Macaca fascicularis: one gene and its partner. The protein of the gene in region 1 interacts with the protein of each later gene in a biochemical or structural test. Links are inferred from orthologs where the notes say so. Each region holds a gene or a part of one and is shown in the gene's direction. Other genes may lie near its edges.

What was found. The genes of interacting proteins can lie anywhere in the genome.
Region 2: the proteins of SNTB1 (region 1) and SLC16A7 interact in a test that uses a peptide from one of them, tested with the Homo sapiens proteins (2 studies listed by IntAct, with this or other methods). The link is inferred for Macaca fascicularis from reciprocal best matches to the Homo sapiens genes SNTB1 and SLC16A7.

What each region holds. Positions count from the first base shown.
Region 1 is NC_088382.1:130,428,238-130,433,076, reverse strand, and holds the start of SNTB1 (beta-1-syntrophin), read left to right. Parts: upstream 1-1,387; 5' UTR 1,388-1,590; coding exon 1,591-2,170; intron 2,171-4,839. UniProt on the Homo sapiens protein: Adapter protein that binds to and probably organizes the subcellular localization of a variety of membrane proteins. May link various receptors to the actin cytoskeleton and the dystrophin glycoprotein complex.
Region 2 is NC_088385.1:66,479,994-66,484,917, forward strand, and holds the start of SLC16A7 (monocarboxylate transporter 2), read left to right. Parts: upstream 1-1,909; 5' UTR 1,910-2,148; exon of another isoform or gene 2,149-2,459; intron 2,460-3,343; exon of another isoform or gene 3,344-3,503; intron 3,504-4,924. UniProt on the Homo sapiens protein: Proton-coupled monocarboxylate symporter. Catalyzes the rapid transport across the plasma membrane of monocarboxylates such as L-lactate, pyruvate and ketone bodies, acetoacetate, beta-hydroxybutyrate and acetate.

The sequences.
Region 1 (4,839 bases):
GCTTTTAAGCCTCCTTGATTAAGTGTGAGTTATTCTAAAAGACTTAGAGAACTTTCAACGATGATACACATCAATGGGAATGTGTTCAATAAGATTTATTTCAACACCTTGCTGGGTTGGGGTTACTTCAGGAATTAACAGAACTGTGTGTTTTGTTTTGTCTTGTGTTTGGAGACAGGGTAGACCGCAGTGGGAAGGGTACATAATGGAGAATCACGAAATACCTTGAGCGGACCCTGAGACCTGCTTAGAGTTAGGGGAAAACTGGAGAGGTTCAAGGATAGAAGAACTCAGGGTTGTTCAGGTGTGACATGGGTTACGTGGGCATTTCTGGATTGCTCTGGGAAGGTAAACAACCATTATAATATTGTTACCCTGGAAAAATGCAACTTGAAATCCAAATAACTAACTTGCAAAGTAACTTTTGAAATATCACCCATTCCAACTGAATTCTTAAATGGGAGGCTTCTTATATGGGAACTCAGGAAGAAAGAGAGATCCCCAGGCAGCATTTGGTGTGGCACTGGGAAAACAAAGATAGGTCAAAAGCTTAAAGCATAGAATGAGTTACAGCTGGAAGAACATTTGTCCCTGGGGTCCGAGGCAGGCATGACCTGTTGAAAACCCCAGGCCAGCAAAGACACCTGTCCAGGGCTCCATAAAAAATATTTCCTGCATTTAAGGAGAGGAGGTTTAAGGCACTCGGGCTATGTTGAGTCTTCATTCTAGAATCTTGGGACAGCGTATTCCCTTTTAACTCCTGGGGAGTCCAGGGCCTTGGTCTGAGTTTAGCTTCCTCCTAGGAACCCGGGTGGAAAGGAGAGACAGGTAAGAACTCCGCAGAGTCAGGGAAGCCTGGGTTTGAGGAAGCAGAGGGAGGAGACCTGGATCTAGTTACAAAGGAGTTGTAAGACCCAGGGACAATTCTACGTGCTGGGTGTGAAAGGGGAGGGGGCTCAGGAGGACCGAGTGAGGGCACTGAGGCAGGACGCACGCACCCGGCGAAGGTGCGGTGTGGGCGCCCACGGAGTGGGGGAGCTGGGACGAAAGGGGGACTGCGGTGGGCTGGAGAGAAGCGGGACGGGGAAGGCGCTCGGGAAGCTGTCCCCTCGGCGTCGTGCGCTCCGGGGACGGAGGCGGGGAGGTCTGGGCGGGCGAGCGGCGTGTGACCGCCAAGGCTGGGGCGGCTGGAACAGGTGAGCGGCCGCTGGGTTGTGGGTCCCCGCCCTTCACCGCCAGCGTGCCTCCTCCCACGGACTCTCCCCAGCGCTGAGCTGCTCCGCGGCTCCCCTTGGTTTGGGGTTTTGCAACTGGCTGCTGGCTTTTTTCCCCTCCCCTGTCTCGGTCTCTCCTTCTTCTTTTAGGTTGCTCCACCCCGCCCAGGATCAGGAGAGGGGGAACCAGCCTGACTGCGGCTGCCAACTCCCGCCGAGTGCGTCTGCGAACTCCCGGAGCGGAGTCCCGCGTGCCGCCACCTCCTCACGGGGCGCACTCTCCTCGCTCCCCCGGGCCCCGCGTCCTCCCCCCGGCCACCCTTCCCCACTTTTCCCCCCTTTTCCAATCACATGGCATTTTAAGAATGCCGGAAAGATGGCGGTAGCGGCGGCGGCGGCGGCGGCGGCGGCGGCTGGGCCGGCAGGCGGGGGAGGCGGCCGGGCGCAGCGGAGCGGGCTGCTGGAAGTTTTGGTGCGGGATCGCTGGCACAAAGTTCTGGTGAACTTGAGCGAGGACGCCCTGGTTCTGAGCAGCGAGGAGGGCGCTGCGGCGTACAACGGCATTGGGACCGCCACCAATGGCTCGTTCTGCAGGGGCGCCGGGGCTGGGCACACGGGCGCGGGCGGCGCGCAGCCCCCGGACTCGCCCGCCGGGGTCCGCACCGCCTTCACCGACCTGCCGGAGCAGGTGCCCGAGTCCATCTCGAACCAAAAGCGCGGCGTGAAGGTGCTGAAGCAGGAGCTAGGCGGGTTGGGGATCAGCATCAAGGGGGGCAAGGAGAACAAGATGCCCATCCTCATCAGCAAGATCTTCAAGGGGCTGGCGGCGGACCAGACCCAAGCCCTGTACGTGGGCGACGCCATCCTGTCCGTGAACGGAGCCGACCTGCGGGACGCCACCCACGACGAGGCGGTGCAGGCGCTAAAGCGCGCGGGCAAGGAAGTGCTGCTGGAAGGTAAGGGGTTAACCGCGCGCGGGCAGCGCCGGGCGCGCACACACCTGCTCGGCTTCCCACCCGCACGCTCACACTCACACCACACTCGACCACGTGCCGACACACCCCAGGGGGCCGAATGTGTGTGTGTGGGTGGGGGAGAGGGCGGAGGAATTGGCAGCATAGAGTTTTGTCAACTTTTACCCACCCTGGGGGCAATTAGTCTCCAGTCCGCAGGGTTGGCTTTAACCCAGGAGGGGTGTATGGAAAAGCGAGGCTAGCAGGGTTTCCCAGCCGGATTGCTGCTTAGTATACGTTGTTTCATTTTTGTCTGCGAGTAATCCTAGTAGAGTGTAGGGATTGGGATATGGAATCGAGAATGAAGGGTGAACTTAGAATATTCCTACATCCAACGTTGCCAAGCAGGGCTACTGCGTAATTGCAACTCATAGTTTTCCGCTTTGGCAAAATTTCCCACTCTAAAGCCTGGGCAACCCAGCAGAAGAGGATTGACTCATAAAGGGGTGAGAGAGAGGTGGCAATATTGTGAATGCTAAAACTCCGACTATCCTTCTGGACGTTCCCCCTGCAAATGGGGGACTAGGGTTATGCCTGGAGAGTTGTGTCAGGGGCCGGGAAATTCGTTGCAGTTTTGGGGAAAATTCACTTTCCCTGCCGGGCATCTGGCCGGTCAGTCTGGATTCCAGGTTCCTCTGGGTGGAGAGCTGGTGAAGTGGTTTTTCTGGCTGCGTTTTCTGGAGCCCTTTCTGAGTGGTGTGGAAACAACTTTGCATTTGTAAACAGTTCCCCCTGCGTGTGAGGAGCCTAGAAACTACTCTCTGTCTCTCGAGATCTGATGTCCCCAGTCCCCTCATTATTGAATGTGAATAGAATAGGAACCACCTATTTACAGTTTTGCACTGTTCATGGCTATGTTGAGTTATGTCGGGGAGAAGGGCATATTGGTAGTAAACTGAATTCTCCTGTTTGGCTACAGCTGCATTTCTCACTTGTTTCTCTTCTCTTTAGTGCTGTGTACATACCTCTGTCAGCACTAATAACGTGTAATTATTTTATCTATTTACTCAGCCTAGCCTACCTATAGATTGCGGTATCTGGAGTCTTTTATTTAGCGGTGGATCTCTCTTGGAGCTTAGTTGCTCCATGTCATACATACTGAGTAAATGAATAAATGAACCTATAGCTATTGAAATAGACTATTTCATCTGAGACCATGTAATATGGTGATTGATTTAAGCCCTAAAGACGTAAGTCAATTTCCTGCTTACTTAGTCGTGGCACTGGTGTGTGAAACTGAGAAAGTTTAAAGCAAGGGTGCCAGCATCACTAGTGTGTGACAGCTGATGCAACTCCCTGGTATGTCATGGCCCACCTCCTGGCCCACAATACAGAGAAGTTCTCCCCCACCAACCTTGTTTGTCTAGAGGATTTGCGATGTCTTCATAGTCAATTACCACCCTGGACCCAGACAGTGGAAAGCTATTTGCTTTGGCTTGATGATTAACATAACAGGAAAAAAAAGTTTTCTTGACTCCAGTGTGTGTTGGTTTGTGTGACAAGGGTCAGGTGGGATCTGGGGCAAGTGTTATTTGGAATATAAACTGTTGGGCACCTGCTCAGTTTGCAATACTTACTGTAAATACCGGGGTAGGGGTTGGGGGTGGGGCGGAAGGCGGGTCATTTTATTTTAGGTACTATCCTTTATTATGTCCCTACTTTTCTTCCTCTGCTTGCTTTCAATTTAACGAATAATTACTTGGCAAAGAGGTAAAAAATATCTCTCACCCAAAAAGAGGAAGAAATTTCTCTGCAATTGAAAATAAACTTAGAGAAAGAAAAAAAATCAAGCAATTATGTGACTTTCAGTTTCTTGAAACAGAAACTGAAAAGTGAGTTTGGTAAAAACCTCTAACATGACATTCTTAGAACACTTTGTCATTTGTCATAGGCAGGACCTCTGGAGAAACACTGTGGGTCTCCTAGATATGAACATTTTTGGCTCAGTGTAGCAGCCTTATCCTCAGCCCAAGTTTTTCAAAATCAGCTGCTGTTAAGGGAAGCGGAGGCCCTCCTCAGAACAGTGTCTCTTATTCTGAGCCAAAGTGTTCGTTCTCAATGCAATGGTAGTCATCAAATACCATCAAGTCAAATATCACAATCCTCTCTTTTGTAGCTTAGCCTAATACTGGGATTCCCAGTTGAAGGGGCTTATTAGGACCACTTCAAGGGCTTTTTAAAAAGACATACCTACTTCTTCATATTCTAACATGCAGTGTGGATTCCAGAGTTTCTACATAGGAGAGGTTTTGAAGATGTAATCTGGTTACATGACAGGGCAAAGGGAAATGTTTTGAAGGTACATTTGTATAGCAAGTACACCCTTTTTTCCGGCTAGATTCCTTTTTGTTTGTTTATTGGGGGAGTAAATGGAGATTAGTTTAGTACTCCAACCACCGCCCACACGCACCCCACTGCATGACATGCGCCCCCTGGTGGAGAGCTACTACCTCTACGAGTGGAACACCCTGTAAAGTGAAACCCTGGAAAAGTTTCAATGCCTGCATTCTAGGCATAGATTCCGCCACAGAATTAACATAACCTCCCTAAGTCTCAGCGTATTCATCCATGAGATGGGAATAAGGAAACCTGCTGGACCTGCTTACTTTACA
Region 2 (4,924 bases), on another chromosome or scaffold:
AGTTCTAATCATATGGCTTGTTTTTTCCCTAAATTGTATTTTTTTTCTCCATTTCTTAACAATATTAAACTATAAGTAATAGGATAAATTGGCTGAATTTATTCTTAGCTGATTCTCCCTCCTTTCAGATTCCTTTCTAGTCAAATCAAATTTTACGTAACATACCTAGTTACCACAACAAAGCAATTTAGAAATGAGTTCCCAAATACTAACTCTGTGACAGTAGGTAAATTAGATCCAGAATTTTAATTGTTGAAAAAACAAGACTTAAAAAGAAGGTTATGATATCATGCTATAAGTAGTGATGTTTGGCATTCAGCAATAGGTTAAACAAGCCAAGAACATGGGACTATAAGAAAAAAAACAACAAAAAAGAAAAATCAAAGAGAAGGAAAAGGGAGAATAGGATCGAAATTCAGAAAGCATATGGTCTTCTTCCTCTTCTTTGACAGGAAATAAAAGTGATGAATGAGCAGGAAAAATGTCAATAGCAAACACTCAAGAATATGACCTTGAAATGTGCCTTCATGTTGTTTCTTTGAAATGTTTAACTTTTTTGTAATTAAATGAAGTATTTAGAGTCACTGCTAGACATTCCATCATTATCAAAATGCCTATTATGTCTTACACAAACGTCTATTTAAGCATTTTTAGCTTAAAAATATAAAATCCTTTCTGTAATTTTCTGCCTTTTTTTTCAGTTTCAAATATCATTCTTTCAATAAAATTATCTTCCAATAATTTTGAAGTTATTAATCACCATTATTTATTCACCTTATATTATGCCTACCAGCCACTTCATGTATATTATTTCACTTAAATCTTATGAAATCAACCCAAGATTGATATTACTTTTATTTCATAGCTACAGAAATTGAAATTCAAATTTTGTCCATTACAACAGACTAGCTGCGGCAAAAGACAGTGTGAATTTACCCAAATGACTTAACTATCTTTTTATAAATTTGTAAAATGTGAAGAATCATAGAACACATCTTAAAAGGATTATTGTGAAATCAAGGAGGAGAAAGCTAGTTAAACTGGTAGACAAACTGCAATAGGACTTGTCAAGTCAAAACCTACAATTATTCTTTTGGATAGTTTCTTTTTCTCTAAAGTGGCAATTTAACTTAAAGTTATTAAAGAAACTCAATCTTTGGGGTAGGTTAAACGTTCTCTTCCAGCCCTTCCTCTTTCCAACTTTCCCAAGAAGCATATTTTAGACAGAGGAAGAGACCAAACCAATGACTGCACAATTACCATTATCTCTAGCACTATTCGTTGTCAAATAACTAAATGCTGGTTTGAAGAACTAAATAATTGGAGAAACCAAAAATGAAAGGAATTACTTATAAATGATTTGAAAAAAAAAAAAAAATCCTTATTTTTAATGTCTTTTGGTGCTGTTTTCCATACCCTTCCTCCTATGGTGTCAATTTTATTTTTTTCTGTAAAGTGATTTGGTTAGTGAGTCTAATCTCCAACAGTGCACTACCTCCTTCTCCCAAAAAGGCCTCAGTTGAAAAATGGCTCAACACTTTCACTGCAAGTTCACAGTGAGGATCTCCTATTCTCCCTGCATTCGGCCAGACTCTTCTCTTTTTGCATGCTTTCCTCTCCCATGCATGGGTTACACAACTCTCTGGAATATCTAGACAGAGCTACCCCACACCTGACTCCTAGGTCAGGCTACAGAGTACTTCGGATACAGCAAGTCACGACCCATCTGAAACGACAGATCTACCTGCCTTTTGGCTTTCTTCCTTGGTCAAAACTAAAATCCGAAGTGGAGTGCCCCGAGCGATAGAGAAATTGCCTATAGCTTTGACAGCCGCTTGGAGCATGCTCAGTCGGTCTCCAGGCACCGGGAGGCGGCTCCCCCCCACCACCCCCCGGGCCGGCCTCCACCGCAGTCTGTCCGGCCCCCACCCCCGGCGCGCGCTCCTCCGCACCCACACGGGCGTTCAGCAGCCGCGCCTCCCCTTCCCGCCGCCGCCTCCTTTTCCGCTGGCTGTGGCGGGCGAGGACACGTCAGGGGCCATAAATAAATAAATAATTCCATTCACCCGTTGACAGCAAGGCGAACCGGCTGCGGCTTGCGGGGAACAGAGAGCTGCAGCGCCCACCCTGCGCCAGAGACCAGATAAAGTAAGTACAGCTGGGGAGGGAGGGGGGCGGAGGAGGAGGACGAGGAGGCGGCGCAGGCGAAGAGGAGCGAAAGCCCGCGTCTGCGACCCGAGCTGCCCGCGGAGCCGCACGCGTGTGTGCAAATAATGGCCAGCCTGTGACAAACGTGCCAACGCAGAGTTGGCCAGCGAGCCCTTATATAGACAAAAAACCCCGAAGCGGCCGCGGGAGGAGAGCTCGCGTCAGCCAGTGAGCGCCGACAGCGGCCCGGGAGCTGCTGGGGGTGTGCGGGGTCCCGGGCAAGGAACGCCCCGCGTGCTTTCGGCCAGGAGGTACCCACGCTCTAGGCTTTTACACCTAGACTCAGCGTGGCGCGGTGCACCCCAGTCTCCCTGGCTCACGAGACTCGGAGGGCTGCTTGCGTGCGGCGTGTCTCTAGTGCGCGCCCTGCCAGCATCCGGCCCCCGAACCCCCTAGGGTAGCGTGGCTTCATTGCTGCACAAGGTGGAGGTGGGGGTGGTGAGGGTGTGTGTAGGGAACGTCTTCTCTTTGAGCAGATGATCAGGACAGGAAGAGGCTGCGAGGGGAAGACGAAATACCGGGGGATTGGGGCGTGGGGGTTGTCTTTCTTCATTTTTGGTCCCCAGGAAGGATGGCAGGGGTGGAAGCAGATGGAAAAGTGTATGCGGGCGAGGCCTGAGCCCAGGCAGAAAGGGAGCGCTGACTTGGCAAGGGTTCAGGAGGGCCTGTGCCTGCTGGGCTTCCTGAGCTACTGCACCACACTGGGGGCACTAGGCCCGGTCAGGTGGCGCCACAGGCTGCGAGCCCGCTCACGTGCGAGCCCGCTCACGTGCGAACTGTTTTCCCAACGGATGCTGCATGGCAGCTCCCTTCTCTACCCGCTTTTCTCCTCTACTTCCGCGAAAACGATTGCAGACTGCCTTGGAAAGGGCGGTCGTGCCCAATACCACTTTCCCGGTAGGGCTGAGGAGGGACTTTTGTAGTTCCAATTCCAGGGAAATTAAAATTTTACACACACTCACACTCACACACACGAGAGACATAGAAGAGGAAATGAGGAGTGGTTTCTCTATAATTGTTTTTTGATTGCCTTTCCCGGAGAAATAAGTAGGACTAGGCTGCGTTGCGTTAGGGCTGGTTAGTGGCATTAGGACAGCTGTTATTTCATGTCCTTCTTCCCTCTTGGGTCCCAAAGGAGACACAGCAGAAGAATAAAATAGCGGGCAGTGATGAAGGTGATGTGAAAAAGACTGGACCAGAGGAAGGAGTGACTACTGGATGCCATTTCCTGTCACCCCATGCTTCATGGCTAACCCCAGTCTGAACTCAGAGGGTTGCCAACTTTCCACAGACAGGTTAGCTTGAATGTGTTGTGTCACTGGAACCACAAGCACTAAGTATGCATTTGGTGGAGTGTGGCTGAAAAATGAGAGTTGGGTGGGGACTGGAGAGGGCAAATGAGGGTTGAGCAAAGTGACTAATATTTAGCCCCGGTGAAGCAATCCTAACTCCAGCTTCTACTTCTAACTGAGCACATTACATTTAAAGCAATCCAAGTGAGGGACTGAATGATCTCAGTGGAAAGGAAAGATTATAACCATAAGAAACTCAGTGTATTGTGTAACAACTTACAAAGTCAGAAACTATTTTTTGTAAATACATCAACAGTTTGCAGTTACATATTACATTTTTTCCCCCAAGGCATGTTTTAATATTAAGTGATCTGAAATTTTAACACCTGTTTCCCAAAGTTCAAATTAGTGTATCCTTCTATAAATGCTCAGTTTATTTCTAGACATTCATTTGCTCTTTGATAATGTCTGGCTTATATTTTTGGCTTTGAGCTCTTTTAAAGGGAAGGAGAGAAACATTACCTAAAGAAACCTCCCTTGTCTAGAGTCATATTCCTGGATCATGGATCTGAAATAAAAGGCATCTCCAGAATTTGATTTTAATTCTGTATTCATTCACCAAACATTTTTGAGACATTCACATGGAAAAAGGGAATTAACTTTAGAACAGATTGGTTCTGCACTTTTGTAAGGTTGAGTAGTTGTTTAACAATCAGGGCTTTACCTTTTTCTTATCTATAAAATGAGATTGGTGGTACCCACTTTGAAATGCTATTGGGAAGAATAAAGTGTGTGGTAAACACCTAGAATTTAGACAGGCTATATTTGAGCTCCTATAATCAGTCTAGACACCCTACCAGGGTTACCAAGATGAATGAGGCTGGAATTCTGTTCTCAAGAAGTTCTCATATAGGCAGTCATCCAGGTTAATCTTTTCTTGTATCCCATTTGCCTTTTAGTGCCCCCCTTTTTTTTTCTCCTCTTGATGGAAGAAACATATATCCCAAATAACTTGAAAGGAACTCCGCAGTTGTAAGAGATGTTGGTAAGATCTGCTAAAAGGCAAATTTGAGAAGAGTGTCTTTTCTCAGGAACCTGTATTCAGCCCGTTTTTTGTTCATTAATAGTGATCCTTAATGAATAAAAACAGGTAATGAAGGATTTTTCTTCATGTTAGGAGGGGAGGATGATCCTTCTCTGAAGACTATCTTTGTCAATGAATTGGTTTCCATCATTTGAGAGAAGAGTTTGAGCTGCAGTTTCTACTACACCTTGGACAAACCAATCCACTCACTCCTAAGAGTATAAAGTAACTGTAGTACATAACGACTATAATGACAACTCTGTAATGCTCACCATATTCCAGGCACTGTGCTACTACTGTCTGATAGCACGTAACAACCCTGTGAGGTAGATCTGTCCAT